Linked DNA regions of Notamacropus eugenii. Each later gene encodes a partner of the first gene's protein in a complex. Links are inferred from orthologs where the notes say so. Each region holds a gene or a part of one and is shown in the gene's direction. Other genes may lie near its edges.

Evidence for each region. Proteins that work in one complex are often made in the same cells at the same time.
Region 2: the proteins of SLC9A1 (region 1) and CHP2 are in contact, whole or in part, in a crystal structure (PDB 2BEC), measured with the Homo sapiens proteins. The link is inferred for Notamacropus eugenii from reciprocal best matches to the Homo sapiens genes SLC9A1 and CHP2. Residues at the interface, in NP_003038.2 of Homo sapiens: Ser517, Ile518, Asn519, Glu520, Ile522, His523, Thr524, Gln525, Phe526, Leu527, Asp528, His529, Leu530, Leu531, Thr532, Gly533, Ile534, Glu535, Asp536, Ile537, Cys538, Gly539, His540; in NP_071380.1 of Homo sapiens: Arg30, Arg34, Leu38, Leu51, Ile54, Ala56, Leu57, Asn60, Pro61, Leu62, Ile66, Phe70, Phe83, Leu87, Phe90, Tyr118, Ala119, Leu122, Tyr123, Met136, Val139, Leu140, Met143, Ile156, Arg159, Thr160, Glu163, Ala164, Phe177, Ser180.

The regions. Positions count from the first base shown.
Region 1 is NC_092876.1:68,266,204-68,276,482, reverse strand, and holds the start of SLC9A1 (sodium/hydrogen exchanger 1), read left to right. Parts: upstream 1-5,486; 5' UTR 5,487-6,443; coding exon 6,444-6,789; intron 6,790-10,279. UniProt on the Homo sapiens protein: Electroneutral Na(+) /H(+) antiporter that extrudes Na(+) in exchange for external protons driven by the inward sodium ion chemical gradient, protecting cells from acidification that occurs from metabolism.
Region 2 is NC_092874.1:489,500,814-489,510,446, forward strand, and holds the start of CHP2 (calcineurin B homologous protein 2), read left to right. Parts: upstream 1-5,829; 5' UTR 5,830-6,932; coding exon 6,933-6,999; intron 7,000-7,553; coding exon 7,554-7,626; intron 7,627-7,884; coding exon 7,885-7,965; intron 7,966-8,206; coding exon 8,207-8,337; intron 8,338-9,633. UniProt on the Homo sapiens protein: Functions as an integral cofactor in cell pH regulation by controlling plasma membrane-type Na(+)/H(+) exchange activity.

The DNA.
Region 1 (10,279 bases):
TGCTGCTAAAGGGGCACAACTGATATCTATGCCTTTTATGTTTCATTGCCTTGGGTTAAAATTCTGGTCATATCACTCCTGATTCTTTTCACTACATTATGATACCATCAAATAACAGGCTAGCTAACTTAGTGCTGCTGGATTTCATTGGAGGTAGAGCTCAAAACAGGGCTGGGGTGGTCTGAAAATGCTTCTCTTAAGAGGCACTTGAGTTGGGCATGGTGGTGGCCACTTATAGGCCCTGCTGCTGGGAAGGCTGAGGATGATGGATCTCTTGAGCTCAGGAGTTCTGAGTTTCAATGGACTATGACAATCAGGGAGTCTGAACTGTTTGGCATCAGTGTGGTGAGCTGCTGGGTTGCCTGGAGCAATCAGCCAAAATCAGAAACTGAGCAAGTCAAAGCTCCCATGCCCATCTGTGGTAGCAGTGGGCCTGAGAGTGGCCACTGTGCTTCTAGGCTAGGGAGGTGCAGTCTTTAAAAAAAATAAAAGAAAAAAAAAGAAAAGGGCACTTGAGCTAGACCCTGAAGGATGGTTAGAATTAGATAACTGGAAAGAAGGTAGGAGGGCATCCCAGGAAAGAAAGACCTATTGATAAGGGACTCTCTTGTATTTTGGAGACTGGCTGCAGCATGTTATTCCATTGGTCACGAGAGTTGACTTTGTGGATCTTGCTGAAAGGTACCCACTCCTCTCTGAAGTCTTCCCTGGGCACAATTGTATGAAAATTTTCTTAGGTCATTTTATTTGGAACTCTGTTTCCCCCATCATTTCAACAGATATACTCCATCCAGCTGTCCTTCTGAGCCATCTGGCTGCCTGTTCAGATGCTGCCCCCTCATCCTCTCTCCACCTGGATATGCATTCTCCAGATGGGACCTATAGAAATTTTGGCCCCAGGCTCTAGGGCAGTCAATCCACTCACCTTTGGAACTTCTGCCCTGGGACTGAGCTGTCTTGATTATTGAATGAGTAAGTGTAGACTCACCTAGCCAACCATACTTAACATGCCCCAACAGCAGATCCAACTTCAAATCCCATCTAGCCATCCTCCTTGCCACTATGTGGAGTATAATACTGCTCTTTTCTCCCTCTCCACCTCCAGCTCTGGGTACAGTAATCAAATCAAAAATATATTAAGCAGCTGCCCCATTCTCCTCTTGTGCCCCTCATCTTAGAATGAGAATGTAAGCTCTTGGAAGACTCCCTTCCTTCCTTCCTTCCTTCCTTCCTTCCTTGTTTCCTTCCCTCCCTCATTCCTTCCTTCTCTCCTTCCCTTCTTTCATTCCTTCATTTCTTTCTTCCTTCCTGGTTGTGAGAGATGGGAGATCAGATAAGAGCAATTTAAAATTTCCCACTGCCCCGTGTAATGGATGTAGAGTAAGGAAGACTTGGATTCAAATCCTATCTCAGACTCTAACTGTGTTATCCTGGGCAGGTCACTTAACATTTCTAGCCTCAGTTTCCTTATCTGTAAAACAGGGACAAGAGCCTATCTAAGAAAACATATGTAAAGTACTCTGCAAACCATAAAATGTTAGCTGCTATTATCCATTCACAGGTACAGAAACTTCCTTTACCATGGCAAAGACTCACAGAATCTCAGGGGGGAAGGCCATCCTCAGTGATCATCTAGTTCGGTCCTTACTTGAACAGGAATCCCCACCGTCACATCCCTGTCAGGTTGGCCTTCAAGCCCCTACTCAAAGGTCTCTTTGTGGCTTAAAAAGGGCTTCCTTACAGCAACCCTATAAGATTAGAAGCTAATTCTCTGGTATCTAGGTGGTACAGTGAATAAAGCCCTGGGCCTTGACTCAGGAGAAGATCTGAGTTCAAAAGCCACTTAAACTGAGAAAGTCACTTTACCTCTACCTCAGTTTCCCCAATTGTAAAATGGGGATCATAATAGCACCTACCTCCCAGAGTTGTTGTGAACATCAAATGAGATGACATTGTAGGTGATATATAAGCCCCTATTTCTTTCTTTACCACCATGTTCCAGCTGACAATACCCTGGACAATCCCTTGGGTGAGTTCCTCCTGGGAATTTATATTTGAGGAACCATCCATGCCAACCACAGGCTCACTTCAAACCCCACCCAGCTCAAGCATGGCTCATGGTTCCAGAGTGAAGAGTAACTCTCCTTCCCCTCCTTCTCTTTTCAGCTCCCTAGTATTGTTATCTTTCCCCATTAGAATAAAATTTCCCTGAGGGTAGGAACTATGTTTCTTCTTGTTTTTGTATTCTACAGCACTTTGCCCATACCTGGCATATTTTTCAGTTAAGTCTTTCAGTCATCCCATGGTGATCTCATTTAGGATTTTCTTAGCAAAGATATTGGTGTGCTTTGCCATTTCCTTCTCCAGCTCATTTTACAGATAAGGAAACTGAGGCAAACAGAGTTAAAGTGACTTGTCCAGGGTCACACAACGAATAAGTGTCTGAGGCCAGATTTGAGGTCTGGCTCATAGGAAGCACCTAACCAATGCTTGCTGACTTGAGGCATGTAGCATTAGTATCATCCTCCTCATTTTTATTCTGGGGGAAACAAAAGCCCAGACAAAGGAAATGACATAATATGTACATCGATTTAGAGTTGGAAAGGACTTTAGAGGCCATCTAGTCTAATCCTTTCATTTTATAGATGAGGAAACTGAGGTAGATCTTGCCCAGGGTCACAGGACTGGCAAGTGTCAAAGGTACAGTTAAAACTCAGGTCCTCCTAACTCTGTCCAGTGCTCTGTCCACTGTACCTCCTGGCTGTCTCTAGGACACCTAGGAAACAGGAGTTGAGTGAGCCTATGTGATTTGCCTTGGTTTACCCAGTTAGCAAGCGGCAAAGTCATGATTTCAATCCAGGTCTTAGGACTCCAAGTCCAATGCTCCTTTTGCTGCCTCATGGCACAGCTGTTGCTCAGATAGACTTTTCCCCCTTGACCATATATGTAGAGGGCATATGCATTTTTTTTTTCTTTCATACCTGTTTTTGCCAGGTGTGGCTAACCCTGGTGGTGTCTCGTGGCCTACCTTTTACAGTACTGTTGTTATAACCTTCTCCAGGCTGTTCAGCATCTCCGGGGCTGGCATTTCCTGGTCCTAGTGCCTCAGGGCTGGGAGGACTGTCACAGAGATTGGGGTTTGGTTCCTTCCCTGGCTGGTACTCAAAGAATGGAGAAGAGGGAGGTCAAATAGGGAAAGCCCTTAGGAAACAAATCAGCTTAGGGTGTCAGCCGAGATGATTCAGCGGCTGAGAAAGAGTGGTAGTTCTTTCTGCTGTTCCCCTACCCCAGCTCCAAGAAAATTCTTCCCTGGAACCCCTTGCTCTACTACTTCTTGCTTTGGGTCCTGAACATGGGTCCTCTCATCAGCTACTGACACCTCCCACTCATGGATGATTCATCGATTTTATAGTCCATGAGCACAATGGATTTGGAGTCAGAAGACCTGAGTTTGAATACTGCTTTGACATTGATTAGGTAGGAAACTATATATCAAAGGAAACTATATATCAATCACTACCCTTCTTTGGCCCTCACTTTCCTCTCGGTAAAACAAAGGGTAAAACCTGAAGGTCTCTAGTTGGTTTTAGATCCTTTAGATCTGCATTTCCTACCAGCTGAAATCCTCAAACTGGACTCTACCATGATCACGCGCCTAAGAAACCTCAATACCAGGAAATCCATCCCCTGCCTTTGAGATTGCATCAGCTTTGGAATTCACACTTAGTTCATCAGTGCCCTCAATACCCTATGCCTCTTGGATTGGAGCGCTAGAGCAAAGTACTCCTTCCCAAACCTCCATTTTAAAGAGAGGCTCTCAGGTTAGCAACTGCATTTCTCACCAGCTGCCCTACTTGGTCTGGGTTCCACTATCTCCCCCCACCCTCCCACCTTTGGTCGTCTTTTGGGTATTGTATTCTCCCATTAGATTGGAAGCTTCTTAAGGGAAGGTAGTGTTTTTCTTTTTCTAATTTGTATCCCCAGCATTTAGCGCAGTGTCTGGTACATAGTCCGTGCTTAATAAACGTTTATTGACTGACTGACTCACCAGCTCCCTCACCCCAATGAAAATGATTCCAAGATCTATTTATCCAGCCATAGTCTTTCTCAATCCCTGTGTCACCAAATACAACTTGGACATCTTGAACTGGATTTCCTCCCAGCTTTCTCAAACTCAGCATGTCCAATATGGAATCCTTGATCTTGTCTTGGCACCCCCCACCCCCATCCCTAATCTTTCCCTCCTTTGTACTCTCCTCTTACTGTCCAGGGCATCTCTATCTTGACTTTCTACAAGACTTAAGAAAGCTCGGATCTCACTTTCTGGAAGAGGCACAAGAGGTCTTTCTCCATTCCTCTCCCCCTGCCAAAAGGAAGGCACCTTTTGGAATTGACTTCCTCTTACATAGCATGTAAATAACATAGTTATTTGCATGTTGTCTCCGTTGTTACAATGTTAGCTCTTTGAGGGCAGGAACAATGTTTTTGCCTTTCTTTTTTTCAATCCTGAGTTTGGCACAGGGTCTGACACATTTAAGTAAGTGCTCCCCCAGTCACCCAGGCTCCCAACCTCTGTGCCCGCCTTGATTCCACTATCACCCTCAATCCCACGTCTCAATTGCCGCATCTCAAGATTGTTCTGTCCTACTCATTCAGTCACTACATCTGTGCAGCCTTGATCCCTTCACACCTGGACTATTGTGATAACCTTCTAATTAGTTCATCTCTCCCTACTCCAATTCTACTTCCACTCAGCTGCCCAGAGGATTTTCTTAAAGTGTCCCAGATATGACATGCAGTGGCTCCCTAGTACCTCCGGGATAAAATACGAACTTTACCAGCCTTCTTACACCTTGCTCCCAGCCATAATGGCCCTCCTGCTTGATCTTCCTTACTTATGCCTCCCTGCGCCATGCATGTCTTTGTACTCACTGACTGTCCCCCATGCCGGGGATGCTGTTCCGTCACCTCTACGCTTAGTCACTGGCTTCCGTCAAGACTCAGCTTCAGGTCCATCTCCAGGCTAAGGGAGTGCCTTTGGCTCTGAGATCCCCCTCCACGCACTCCCTATATGTAGCACGTGCATCTCTTGCTTTTGTGTCTGTCTCCCCCATTAGAATACAAGTTCCTTGAGGTCAGGCAACGTTTACGCCTTTCTTGGTATCCCTGGAGTTTAGCACATTGCAAGCCCTTATTAAACGCATGCTGACTGAGCTGCCCACCCTGTTACCTCTGTCTCCCTGCCCTTGACCCTTCAGGCGGTTCTCCTTACACCTTCCATTCAATTTCCACGGAAAGCTGAGGCACAGAGCCGTACAGATTGACTCTAGGTCCGATGTCCTGAGTCCAGACTTGGACAGTCGGCTGCAGCCCCCTGCACACCTCCCGGAGCGCCGCTAAGAGGCGCTGTGGCGCGGCGGACTCCGCCGGTGTTTCTCTAGCCCGCCGCGCCGGCAGCTCTGTGGTACGTATAAAAGGCGGTGCCGGGTGGACGGTGGGCTTAGTTCGCTGCTGCCGGACCTGGAACCTAAGCTACGGGGGATCAGCAGGAGCCTTAGGGCCGGGGGCGCCGAGCTGGGGCTACGCTCTCTCGGGGGGCTCTCTCGGCCCTCTGGAGCCGCCCCCAGCAGCCGGAGCCCCTTCCCCGCCTCCGCACCCCGCCCTTTCTCGGGGAACCTCACCTCGGCACGCCCGGCCACCGGCCTCTTCCCCAGCTCCGGGGCTGCGCTCACCTGCCCGGGGTCCCGGTTTCCCCCTTCCCCTTCCCCACTGGGGGGTCCTAGCCTCCCCTCCCCCACTTCGGGGTCCCATCCTCCCCTCCCCTTCTCCACTGCGGGCTCCCAGCCTCCCCTTCCCTTCCCCACTGGGGGGGTCCCAGCCTCATCTCTGCCCCCTCACCAGCTTTGGGGTCCCAGCCCCTCTCTCCCTCTCCTCAGTCTCGCTTCCCTCTTCTACCTCCTCCTTTCCACCTGGCCTCCTAACTTCCCTTCCTCCCTCTCCTCCTCGGTGGAGGGGAGACCTAGCTCTCTCTCCTTGCCCATAGCTGGGAATCCCAGTCCTCCCTCTTCTTCCCTCTCATCCCCTCAGCTCCGGGATTCCCAGGCTCCTCAGCTTTCTTTTCCTTTCCTCCCTCATATGGAAATCTGGTCCCCTCTCTCCTCCTTCCCCCCTGGTCTGTGCACATCCCTTTTCACCCGACCCCACAACTCTCCTCCCTCTAAGAAGAGCAGTTCCTTATCCTTTTAAAACATGAGCTTGCCTTAGTAATCCTTGTTTTGTTTTGTCTTTATTCCATCCCCCGCCTCCCCTTACTAGTTTATTTCTTTTCTTGGGCTCTCTGATTTCCAGACTTCTCCCTAGATTCTTTGCTGCCTATGTCCCAGACTCTGCTTTTCCCTTGTTGAGGTGGGAGGGACCCTCCCCTCAAAGAACAACTTAAGAAGATGACAGGGCCTGGCTTCTGTGGTCTCTCACCACTCCGGGTGTTCCCCTCCGTGTTTGTGGTGGCTGCCCTGCTGGGGCTGCTTCCAGTACTGAGGAGCCATGGGCTGCAGAATACAGTGACATCCAAAGTGTCCACCATGGGCTTGTACATAGGTCCTGGGGAGGGGGATGTCACCTCAGCTCCACCAGAGGTCAGCCACGAAGTCCACCCGATGACCAACTATTCGGGAACCGTTCACGGGAAGCCACGCAAGCCTTTCCCTGTCCTGGGCATTGACTACACTCACGTGCGGACCCCCTTTGAGATCTCCCTCTGGATCCTGCTAGCCTGTCTGATGAAGCTGGGTATGTTGTGTGACTTCTGTCTAAGCTGGGTGGTAGGGATTGGAGGATGTACTGTGCAAATAGAATCACCCCAGTGGGTTGGGGAGAGCTCCCCACTGCCCCAGCCTGGGGTTTTTGAGGCCAACTGTCAGAAATCTATAGTCCTAATTCTTTCAGCAGGGCTGTTTTCTCTGACATTACTGAAGGGTCCAGAGTCTCTGACAGGACTGCATGGGCAGGCCTAAGGGACAGATTTGGTTGTGCCTTCTGTGTGTGTGAAGGCTAGTGACGCTTTCACTGGGGTCCGAAGTGCCAGATGGTTATTTGGTGGTGAGGAATGTGGTCTTTTTTGTTTCTATTTTTGCTGTGAATACCTTCCATTTTGCCTAGTGGCAGTCATCTATGGGACTGAGGCCCTGGGTGGTTTGTATTTCTTTTCTGACTTACTTGAATCCCAGGTGGACCCCGTGCTTAGGTGGTCTAGGACTCTTCTCAGGAGTTTGTTTTCCCATTCTCAGCAATCCTCTGCCCATCTTGGGAACCCTAAGACATCTCAGCCACTGGGGCTTTAGGAGTTCAGAGGTTCACTGAAAATGCAGGTGTTTCCTGTGTCCATGTTCCACTTCCCAAGATTTAGCAGTCAGCTTTGCATCCTGGCCTGATTGGGAATAGCCTGGAGATGATTTGTGTGTCTATAATGCTGTCCTCTGTTCAGCTTATGGGGCTGGGTAGACCTTGGGAATTTCTGAACTGGATATGTGCTTGGGGAGGAGTCTGCCTCATCTTGGCTAGTTACCAGATCAGTCCCAAGTGTGTACTTAGCTGTTTCTTAAAACTCAGCCTGTGCCTGGCCATGGTGCTGGCCTGGGAGCTGCCGGAACTGGATGGATGGGTGAAGGTCCTTAGCACTATGGAAGGGACATCCTGGTTGGAGAAGTGATTGTGGGTGGCTGGGGAGGATTAGTGACTGAAAAGTGGCTCCTTCCTGAAGAGGCCCAGGTGAACTGAGCCAGTGTCACATGGGTGATTGATGGACCAGCCTGTCTGGACCCTGTGATGGCCAGTAATCCCTGACTGATTTTGCATCAGGGAAGCCTTTTAAGCTAGTTTGGCCCTGGGCCAGCTGTAGGAGTTTTGGTGACCTGGATGTTCCAGGGGCTTGGTGGAGAACCTTCCCAAGGACATGCAGGAGTGATGTCAGGATGTTGGGTTTTAGATAGTGATGCAAAAAGGTAGTACTGACTTTTCTGATTCACTGTATAGCTAATTTGGTATAGGAATATGATATGCACCCAGGCAAGATGGGCAGAGGCCCTGCTGCCTGGGACCCTGGTCCTAGTTTACACTTCCGGCGCCTCCACTGCAGCTGAATTTCCTGCAGGCAGCAGCACCTACTTATGAGGCAGTAGTCTGGAGTCAAGCAGCCTCAGCTTCCAATCCAAACAATCCTGTGACCTTGGCAGGATGGAATTTCTCTCTGCCCCAGTCTCACCTTCTGTGAAGTGGGAATGATTCTTGAGGTAGAGACCATGCCAATTGTCTTATCAATCAGTTTAATCCATCGGGCATTAAGTGACTGGTGTGACGATGCAGTTAGATTAAAGCTGGCCTTAGAGTCAAGTCCTGCTGCTGACCCTGCCTGGCTGAGTGACCCTGGACAAGTCCCTCACCCTTCAGTGTTCTCAGCGTCTCTCTTAAGATGAAGTTACAGGACAGTTGCCTGGCATTTTCTTACCAAGAGTTCTCTGTGTCAGTGGAATCACAAGTCTAGCCCAATAATAAATGAGCTTGGCAGTGTACTTGGTGCCAGAGATGACAAGAGGAAGACAAAATGAAAACCCATTGCCTTCCAATAGCTTATGTTTTGCAATATGTAAATGTAATTTAAGGAGGAAGGTGTCCTTTGGAGATGTAGTGCATGAGGTGATGCTTGAAGGGAACCGGGGCTTCCCAGTGGCCGATACTACTACCTGGCATACATGGTAATAAAGGACAGTACAAACTGTACTGTCCATGTACAAAGGCATGGATGTGAGCGTTAAGGTTCTGGCTTTGGGGCACCTTGATGTGACTATGATGTGTCCGCCTTTTGAGTCCATGAAAACAGACTTCAGCGGCACGAACATAAGTATAAGTAAAAAATCTTTCCCTCCTCCCATGGACACATTTGGGCAGGGCCTCAGTGTGTGAGGCAGGGCTTAGCACTCACTACCACTTCTGCAGGTGCAGCTGATTGAAAAATAGCCCAGGAACCGAGTGTGCCTGCAGCTCTTGGCCAGTCTGCAGTGTCTCCTCCAGGCTTAGGTTCTAAAACCACTGAATCTCCGGGTTGAAAGGGTCCTCATGTTGTTCAGTTGTGTCTGACTCTTTGTGAGCCCATTGGGGTTTTCTTGGCAAAGGTACTCAAGTGGTTTGCCATTTCCTTCTCCAGTTCATGTTACAGATGAGGACACTGAGGCAACCAGGGTTAAGTAACTTGCCCATGGTCACTCAACTAGGAAGTGTCTGAGGCCAGATTTGAACTAAGGAGAGGAGTCTTTCTGACTCCAGGCCTGACACTCTATCCACTGTACCACCTTGCTGCCCCTTGGGGCAGGAGTGAGGAACCTTCAGCACTGGGAAGCTATGTGTGGCATCCAGGCTTTAGGTTCCCCACCCCTGCCCTAGGTTCTCATACCCATACCTGCACAGAAATGCCCTTCATAGCATCCTAGATGAATGGTCAGCCAGCCCTCCCTGGAGGGACCACTTGCTACCTCCTAAGGTGGCCTATTCCGCTTGGGCATTGTAATTGTAGCAAGTTTGTCCTGCTATTTAATGCGCTCCTTTAACCCTTCCTTGTAGATCTACACTCTGGTTCTTGCAGACGATTTTCCTAATGCTTGATGACTGCTGTCATGTCCCACTAAGTCTTCTCTGAAGTAAACATACCCAATTCCTTTCTAATGGGCTTGGGTTGCTTCCCTAGCAGACCAGTCTGCGATGAGGAGGGGAGTCCCTAGGATGTTGGGGACTCCTCTCACAGGCTTGTAATGCATTGCCAGCCACACTGAAAAGTCCCTCTGTGACCTAGCATCATTGAAGTGTATGATTTAGGACTGGAAACAGACTAGATTTCCCAACCCTTCAAATTCTGCAGGGGAGGCACCTGGGCCCCAGAGAGAAATGAGGTACCCAGAGGTACACAGGGTCAGAGCTGAGACCAAACAGGCTTTGTGTTTTTGCCATCATCCAGTGGGCGAAAGGGGTATGGCCAATAGATTTAGGGGACCCTTCTGAGACTCTAGGATGTGAGACAAGTCCTCATTTCTATCTTCGCTTGCGTCCTGTTTTAAACACTTACCATGTAATTCACAAATAGTCACCTCTTAACCCATGACAGCTGAAGTATTACCCCAAGATCCTAGATTTTAAATGTCTCACCCCAGGGAATATTGAGGCAGCTGGTTTGGGGGGGTGTTGGCTTATGGACTTTGTTCTTTTCTGTGAAGCCGGTTTCAGGCTGGCTCTC
Region 2 (9,633 bases), on another chromosome or scaffold:
CTGAAAACTTACAGACCCTAAGAACTGGCTTTGAAAACAAGTGACAAAAAAACCCTAGAGTTTGGGACAGTGCTCTCTCCACTCAAGGAGCAGAACTCAACTTTCAGCATAAGATTAAAAGTCAATAAACAGGCTGAAAAAATGAGCCAATAACAAAAGAACGTAACTATAGAATGTTACTACGGTGAAAGGGAAGGTCAAAACACAAACTCAGAAGAAGACAATAAAGTCAAAATAGCTACAGCAGAGGCAGAGGGAAATTGGGAATAGAAATGAGAGTGATGTAAGAAAATCCTTTAAAAAGAGTCAATAGCTTAGTAAACGAGGCACAACAAATATTGAAGAAAACAATACCTCAATAACAGAATAGGTCAAATGGTAAAAGAAGCATAAAATTTCACTGAAGGGAAAAACTCCTTAAAAAAAGCTAATTGGCTAAATGGAAAAGGAAGTACAAAAGCTCATTGAAGAAAATAATTCCTTAAGAATTAGAATTGGACAAGCCAAAGTTAATGATTCCACGAGACATCAAAAACCAATCAAACAAAATCAAATGAATGAAGAAATAGAAGAAAATGTGAAACAATTCTTTGGAAGAACAACTGACCTGGAAAATAGATTAAAGAGAGATAATTTAAGAATTATTGGACTACTTGAAAGCAATGATCAAAAAATGAGTCTAGACATCATCTTTCAAGAAATTAACAAAGAACTCTGCCCTGATATCCTAGAACAAGAAGGCAAAATAGAAATTGAAAAGAACCATCAATCACCTCATGAACGAAATACCAAAATGAAAACTGCAAGGAACATTCTAGTCCAATTCCAGAGCTCCCAGATCAAGGAGAAAGTATTGCAAATAGCTATAAAAACAATCCAAATTTTGTGGACCCACAGTCATAATTACACTGGATTTAGCAACTTCTATATTAATAGATCAAAGGACTTGGAATATGATATTCCAGAGGACAATGGACCTAGTATTTTAACCAAGAATCACCTACCCAGCAAAACTGAATATTATCCTTCAGTGATAAAAATGGACATGTAATAAAAAGAGGGCTTTCCAGCACTCCTGATAAAAAGACCAGAGCTGAACAGAAAAATGGACTTTAAAATACAAGACTCAAGAAAAGCATAAAAAGATAAACAGAAAAGAGAAATCATAAGGAATTCAAAAACTGTTTACATCCCTATATGGAAAGATAAAACTTGTAACTCCTAAGTGCCTGAAGCTGGATTTGAACTCAGAAAAACATCTTTGAGGCCTGGCACTCTATCCACTGTGGATATCCACCTAGTTGTCTTCACCCTAGTTCAGTCCCTCGTTATCTCTCACTTTAATGATTCAATGGCCTCTGAATTGGTCACCCTGCTTCCTCTCATTCCTCTACTTGTGCCATTTTTCACATAGTGATATGTAAATTTCATCTAAATTTTAGCACAGCATGTGATAGAAACCTCTCATGGCATCCTCGTGAAAGGGTGGAGAGACAGAGATTAAAATATCATCTGGTGGATTCAGTACCATTTGAACAAATGAACTGGAAAAGTATTCAAAACCCGGATGAGACAGTAACTCAATTGAGAAAAGTAGACCAAAAGCTCAAATGTTTCCACAATCTATGTAACAGTTTTTAAATTTAATCCATTCAATTCCATCTTACTAGATGCTTCCAAATATTCTAGCCTGCCAAGCTCTTCTTCAGTTCTGACCCAGGCAACCAGTTTGTTCATCATCCCTAACCCTAATGGGGTTCTGTGAGTCATCCTCACAATTAACGAATGCTATCAATACTTCTGTCCAATTATAAGAAGAAAAAGTGGCAAACAGTCCATATGCTGCACCTTGCCCTTCCTGAAGATCTTCTTGTATGGGACATGAGGAATAATCACTGTGTTGCAGCCCCGGTCATGCACAAGAGCACAGAATGAGTTACCTCAACGACCATGGAATCTAAACCTAATTCTGGGAAAATGCAGTCCATTTCAAAGTGGGGCTTCCTGGAGGCCTTCTAGGAGTGAGTGGGTGCTCACTTGTGGGCCTTAAGAGTTGATCCGTATGGTGCCTCAAACTTGCAAAGATAGACTTTTTTCATTTGTTCCTCTGATGACTCTGTGAATGAGGTGTGATCATACCCACTTGACAGATGGAGAAAGTGGCTTGCCCACCATCACACAAGCTAACAAGGGCTTAAGCAGGGTTTGAATCCTTGTCTTCCTGATGTCGAGTGTGTCATTCCCCCCACACTGACTACCAGGGAAAGAAACTTTCCAGATAGGAATGTGTCAGACTTCCATTGCCAAATGATCAGGTTGGTGGATTCACTGCCATCTCTGAAAAGACACATCCTCTCTTCTCCCGACTCCCAGTAAGTAGAATGTTAAGTCCTTCGAATGCTGGGACGATTCTGTGGTTGCTTATTTCTCTCCAATTTCTTGTCAAAAATGACAAGTGTAAAGTCTGATACTTGGGCTCCAGTAAATTAGTTGCACAAGTTAGCAAGCATCTGTGAAGCCCCCAACTATATGCTTGGCATTGTGCTAAGTAATGGGGATACCAAGAAAGGTAAAAGACAGTCTCTGCTCTCATGGAGACAACATGAAAAAACTCATGCAAACAAGCTACAGCCAGGAGAAGCTGGCCATACTCAACCAAGGGCAGATATGAAGATTCAAGAGGACCAGAGGAAGCAGGGGTGAGGAAGGGGAGGGGGGGAAACTATTAGTGAAAGTGGTTTAAGTTAGGAGATGGCACATTGTGCCAGGAAGAGAGCCATCAGTGTCATTGGACTACAGGACACATACTGGGGTATAGGATGTAGGAAGGCTGCAAAGGTTGGAGGGGACTAATAGAGGATTTTATATTCAATCCCTGAAGTAATAGAGAGCCCCTACTGACTTGGAAAATGACATGATTAGACTTTAGGCTTTAAGGTACATCAGTTGGACAGCTGAAGGATAGATTCAAGTGTGGAAAGATCAACCAGCATCTATTTCAATAGTCCAGGCTTCAGGTGATAAGGGGCAGAGGAGAAAAAGAGCCATATTTGACAGATGTTACAGATAGAAACAATAGGACTTGATGTGACTGTATGAAGGGATGACCCCTAAATTGAGAGTCTAGGTAAGTGGGACCGGTGGTACCCTTGATAATAATTGGGAATTTGGGATTCCTTGGTAATTAGGAAGAGGGGAACGTTTTAGGGAAAGGTGCTAAGTTCAGTCTTGGGTGTGGTTGAAATGTCTTGTTGGAGATGAGATACTGAATTAATACTGAAGGCTGAATAAATAGATTTGAGAATTATCAGCATAAAGAGAAGAAATAAATCTATGGGAACTGATAAGATCATCAAGTAAAATTGAAGGAGAAGAGAAGCAGGTTCAGGACAGAGACCTGGGGGACACCCACAACTATCACATAGTTGACAGAGGTTGAGCAAAGAAGGCTGAGAAAGAAAAGTTACAAAAGTGTGAGATAGCCAGGAATGGCTAAAGTAAAATGGCCAAGTATGACTCGACAGCCATTCAGCTGAGAAGGGTTTGGGGTCAGCCGTGTTGCTGTTGCTGCTCGCTCTGTTGTTATTTTCATCTAGATTTGTGATCTCATCTGTGGAGGAAAATTCTCGGTGAGGGATCTTCTCCTATCAAGGCGGAAGGGCACCTGCATTGCCAATATCAGAGAATTATCTGGCTCGCTTGGTCACAGAGCCAGCAGGGGTTGGACACACCCCGTTAACCAGGCCAAACCACGATTCACAGCTGTTCACCCTGGCTGTCTTCTTCTTGTCTTCCTACTGCAAAAGGGTGATTTTCTAACAATTTTATAGCTGCTCTGGACTTCCTTCCCAGTGTCCTATTGGCACAACAGAGCAAAATACAGTTAAGTTCCCTTTCAAATATTCATTATTAAAGCCACTATCTATCATCTCAAGGAGACAACAATGTGTTAAAACACTCTGCTGTAGTTAACACCAATTCTTTCGAAGCTAAGAGTAATGTCAGCTGAACTGGAGAGCTGATTGACCCCTGTGTTTTCCAAATGACTAAATGAAGAGTCCTAAAAATGGAACAATCCACTTGGACCAGCCTCTACCAGCTGCCCCAATACTTCACACAGTATTCATCACAATGATACTCATTCATTTATACATTCTTTCATTCATTTTCCTTTACCATACCATGCTTTCTCTACAAGACAGTGTAGGAAACCAAGTCTAACTGTAATGCTCCTTGAAGTTGCATTAAGAGGATCTTGGGATCACCTTTCTTACTGTTCCCTGGGTTGGTCCAACCACACATGGAATGCTGTGTTCAATAAGGGGTGTCCCAGCGTAGGAGGACAGATGGGACAATTAGGAAGGTGAAGGGGCCTCAGAGACATTTTAAAATGCAACCCAAGGACTTGTGATGCTAAGCCTGGAAAAGAGGAAACTTCTGGGGATGACTATCTGTCCTCCAGGCCCTTGAAGACAAGCTGATGGATGAGGAATTGCTCCTCTGCTTGCCCTCAGAGGGCAGGACAGACAGGGGAATATTTTGGGGGAGGGAACCAGACAGTGAAAAGGGCAAACCTCGGTTTGGTGTAGGGGTGGGGGAGGTTCTAACCATTCATCAGAGTGAGCCCAAAGTGGGATGGGCTAGCTCAGTGAAGCTAGAGGAGGAGGAGGGGTGAGGAGGAGGGGGAAGGGAGAAAGGAAGAGGAGAGGGAGGAGGAGGAGGGGGAGGGAGGGTCTTTCAGGTCTCCCTAAATCTGGAGGCACTTCAGCTCCCTTCTCACTCTGAGAGTTGGTGACCATTATTGACATCTGAGCATCTCCTGGGGCTTTTTTTCCTGTTCTTCTCTGGGGGTTTTTGCTTCTTGCCAAATCTCTGGCTCTGACTTGGTTTCTTTATCTCATGTGGCTCTAGTTTTATTCTCTGTTTTTGCCAGTTTCTTTTTATGTCTTTTTAAAAATTTCTTTTGTGCCTTTGCTTCTCTGTATGTTCTTCCTGCTTCTGTAGGACTCTGCCTGTTTCTGTCTGTCCTTGTGTCTTTCTCCTTCCCTCCCCAGTCTCAATCCCTTCTGCTCCCTCTCCCTGCCCACCTGGCTCTCTCCTCTTCTCTCTTCCTCCCTTTCTTCTTCTGACCTTTATATTTCAGATCTTTGCCTCTCTGTTTTATCTCCATGTCTCAGATGAGTTGGACAGAACACTTCTATCTTTCTGAAAGTCTGTTATTCCATTGCAGGTACAGGGCCAAAACCTCTCCTTTTGTCTCCTTGTGAGAAATAACACATTCAGGTTTGGGAGGCATGAAGATAAAAGAAAAGTTTATTAAGCTAACTGCAGTGATGGTGGCTTATAAAATAGACACACCATCCAGAAACAAAAGTAAACCTTAAAAACCTGTGGCCACCCACAAAGTCCCTCTCCTGTTTCCTCCTTGGCTGGGTAATACAGGGAGTACAACTTTCCCCTATGCCTACTACATAGCTCTCCCTCTCATGTTTTCCCCTCCCATTTCATGTATTGTAAGACCATTAAAATGAAGCTTTAGCTCTCCCAGAGGAGGTTAATATTCCTAATAGACATGAGCATTTCAAGCAAGACTTAACTTTTCCTCTACTTAGCTGACTTCTAACCCAAAACACGATAAAAACCAGTTGGATCCTTGCTTTGCCTGTTAGCCTACGTGTGAGACATAACTCCTTCCTTATGTCTCCCATGTTGCTGACTGTTATTCTGAATTTAGGGAAACAAAGTTCTCCATTACATCTCAATTTTCCCTCTTCTTCGGCTACAAGATAATCTAGTACTAGTCTATGTTGTTAGTCTTCTACAATTAATTTATTTTCCTGCACTTGCAACTCAAAAAACTTCCCAGTATGTATCAATACCCTAGATTTCATAAATCATATATTACATAATTTCTATGGAAACAAAAGTTTGAATCATTCCTCACATCCTGAGCCTTGACTAAGAGCAAACCATAGTAAGAGGGAGAGAAAGAGGAAGAGAGAGACGCACACAGAGAAACAAAGACAGAGAGAGAGAGGAGAGAGGGACACAGAGACAGAGACACAGAGAGACAGAGAGAGAACAAACGCCCCCGGGCTTCAGGAGAACTGATCAGTTACAGAGCATGAGAGCAGCTCTTTTCTCTCCCCATTGTATTTGTGTGTTTCCCTTCAGCGCATCTCTCTCTGTCATCCAGTGTGTCTCTCTGTCTCTGTTTCGTTTTCGTCTTTCTCTTCGTTTGTTTTTGCTTCTCGATCATTGGCAGGCCATGTTGTCTCTCAGATTCCCTCTGACCGTGCTTCCAGTCTTAAAGGAGCAGGTCGGAAGCAGTCTTGGAGGGGCGGGGGGGTGGGTCCTATCGGGGTCTTTTTAGGGTGAGGGCTTAGACGAGTCTGTGGGAGGGATAGGCTTCGGACTGGTCTTTAGGCCAAGTCAAACCCTTTCCCCTCTGGAGTTGGTCTGCTTCCCGTCTGTAAAGTGCCCTTCTCAGCCTCTGCCTGTTCAAGTCTGGCAGCGGGCACCTTTTGATCAGTCCTGAATACCGCTCTGGCTCTCTCTAACCCCCTCACTTTCTCTCCTCCGGGGCTCGACTGAGGCGAAACCTCTGTTTCCGTAGCACTGGAGGACTTCGACTGAGGCATGTGGGAGAACCCTAAATGCATTCTCGAGCCCAGCATGGCCTGGCGGCAGTTGGATGACTCCTCCGACCTTCCGAACTCAGAGAGGGGAACTCGTTCTCCAGGGTTCGGCGTCTTCATTCGGAGGGAGAGGAACTGCTTAAGGAAGGGGCTGCGGTGACGCCTGGGTTCTCGGGGAGAGTGTAGGAGGCAGAGCTTCTACGTGGGACTCTGTCCTGAGCCTATCTGGGTCGGGACCCCAGGCCCCTGGACCCTGGACTCGGGACCTGCCCTGACCTAGGGACCGTCACAGCCATGGGATCTCATGGCTCGCACCTCGAACGAGAGCCGGAATTGAACTTGATCCTAGAGGAGACCGGCTGTGAGTGGGACTGCTGCGGACCCAAGTGTCTGAGGCTCCTAGAGCCCTGAAGGACTGGCAGGGACTGGGGTGGAGGGGCTGGGACATAGCTCCGCCTATCCCCAAGTAGGAGCCTGGACTGGGACCCAAACACAGGCTTCCCGGCTCCCTGTCGCCAGAGTCCCCAACGGCTGAAGGGGACTGGCGGGGACGTGGGGCGGGATGCTCTCTTGGTCACCTTCCCCGAGGGCTTTGGAGGGAGTGGGGCGCGGGCTGAGCCGGGGAAGCGGGCTGATATATTCTCGTCCGCCTCACCACCACCTAGCCCAACCCTTCTTGCTCCAGCCTCTCTGTCCCTGGTTTTCTGCTCCTGGATCTTGAGTCGTTGCTGGTCTCCTAAATCCTGAACTCTGAGTCTGGGACCCCCAGTCTCTGAGTAGTCAGTCCCAAATCTTGACCTTGAACCCTCTGATCCCTGAGTCCAGAATTCTGAGCCTTGAGTCTCTTCTGGTCCAACCGATTCTTCCTCGGCCCTCGGCACCCAGCTCTGACTCTTTTCTCTTCCCACTGTCCAGTCTCTCGGGCCAATCTCAATCGCCTCCATCACCGCTTCCGGTACTTGGACAGGAATAATAAGGGCTTCCTGAGGTGAGCAGAGTCCACCCCACCCTTATGACCCTCAAACATATAGGACTGGGACGCCCAGCCTTCAAGCCATTGACTGAATCGCCTTGGCCTCTGACTCCTGATCCAGTGTCCCCTGTGACCCCTCAGCTCAATGTGAAAGCATGCTGCAGGATTTTCCCCTCGTATGAAAATGTTCCTTCTCTTCTATTCTCCCTCTCCCCTCCCAAAGTCTCCCGACCAGACTTTTGACACTGAAACTTCTCACTCCTTCCCCAACAGTCGAATGGATCTATACAATATAAAAGAACTTGAACAGAACCCGCTGGCAGATCTGATCATCGACAGCTTTTTCCCGGATGGGTGAGGACAGAGCTTTGGGTGAGGGTGAGTGGATGGAGCCTTGGGGAAGAAGGGGGAGCCCTAGGAAACAGAACTGACAGGATGAGAGCCCCCGAGGGTCAGACCCTTCGGGATCAAGATGAAGGGTTATATTAGAGTTCACTCTTTCTTGCTTAGATCAAAGATCTGGGTCCCAGACCTTGAAGCCTTTACCTCTTTTGGGGATAGAAGCTTGGGAGGGTATTCTGACTTTTTCATTCAGGGGTCAGTGTGTGGATTTCCAAGGCTTTGTCTGGGTCCTGGCCCATTTTCGACCATTGGAAGGAAAGGACTCAGCTGCTCAGGACCCCCAGAAGCCTGAGCCTCTAAACAGCCGCAACAGCAAACTGCGTTGTGAGTAGAATTGGGGGGAATCATGGAAAATCATGTCCCCTGAAACTCCATCCTCATTTTGACCGTTAACCTCCCTTGTTTCCTCGCCTCTGTGTGTCTCTTCTCTTCTCTGAGCCTCAATTTCCCCATCTGAACAATGACCTCAGACACCAAGGTTGCTTCCTCACCATGCCATGACTAGGGTATTTTGAACAGGGACAATTACAGTTGAGCAAGGGTGAGGAGAGGCTCGGAGTCCAGATCCCAAATATTCCTATGCAAATCTGAAGCCAACTAGAATTAAAGATCTTGGGAGTGAAGGAGGATGAGGAGGCGAGTAACCAGGGAATTGGACAAGGCCAGGCCTGGGAGCTGGAGAAGACTGGACCAGTTCCTGAACTTCCTGGGAAGAGGGAGAGTGATCTGGAAGGCCATAGGCGTCAGCCACAGGGGTCTAGGCAGGCTGGAGGGAACTTTAGTGACTGAGTGGGTATGTGTGGGGAAGTAGGAAGAGAAATAGGAAAGTGACTTGTCCCCATGCCCCGTCAGTGGAGACAAGGGGCTTCTATCAACCTGTGGCATGGGCCTTGGAACATGAGGACAGGTCTGGGATTGCCTGGGCTGGCAGGGACCTCAGATATCAGACAATGTAGTCTCCCCATTCTCCAGATGAGAAAACTAAGGCCCAGGCAGACAAATTGCCTTATGTCTATTCTGTACGCACCTGTTGATATAGATGTGGTGTCAATGGAATCTCGCTGAGGCCAAGAATGGGGCTTGGTAGCCATCTCTAGCACTTGGCACACAGCAGGTGCCTTAGGAACGGGCAGAAATTGACTGCCTGTCTGAGATCGCACACAATCCAACAATTTTTGTGTGGCATTCGTTCACTCAAAGCATATGCCAGGCACCATGCCAGGCAGTGGGATAGGAAGACCAACATTAACTTGGCCCTTCCTTCAAGAAGCTAGAATTCTTTCAGGGGAAAGTTACCAGAAGATAGAGCAGGTAATACAGGGTGGGAAGATCCACATAGACCTCAGGCAGGAAGGAGACAGCTCTTTGGCAAGCTTGGAAGGAATCCAGGGTGAGGTGGGACAGAGGTCAGGAGGGAAGGTGCTATAAGCAAAGGTTCCATTGCACCAGCTGGAGTAGACCAGAAAGTGTGTGGAGGAAGCAATGGTAGGACTAGTACACCTGGAAAGGCTGACTGCAGGCCGACTACATGCCTGCTCCGAGCTGTGATTTAAACCAAGTGGCTTGGAAGCTTTGGGGAGGCTGAATTGGAGAGGAGAGATGGGGATGGGAGATCAATTA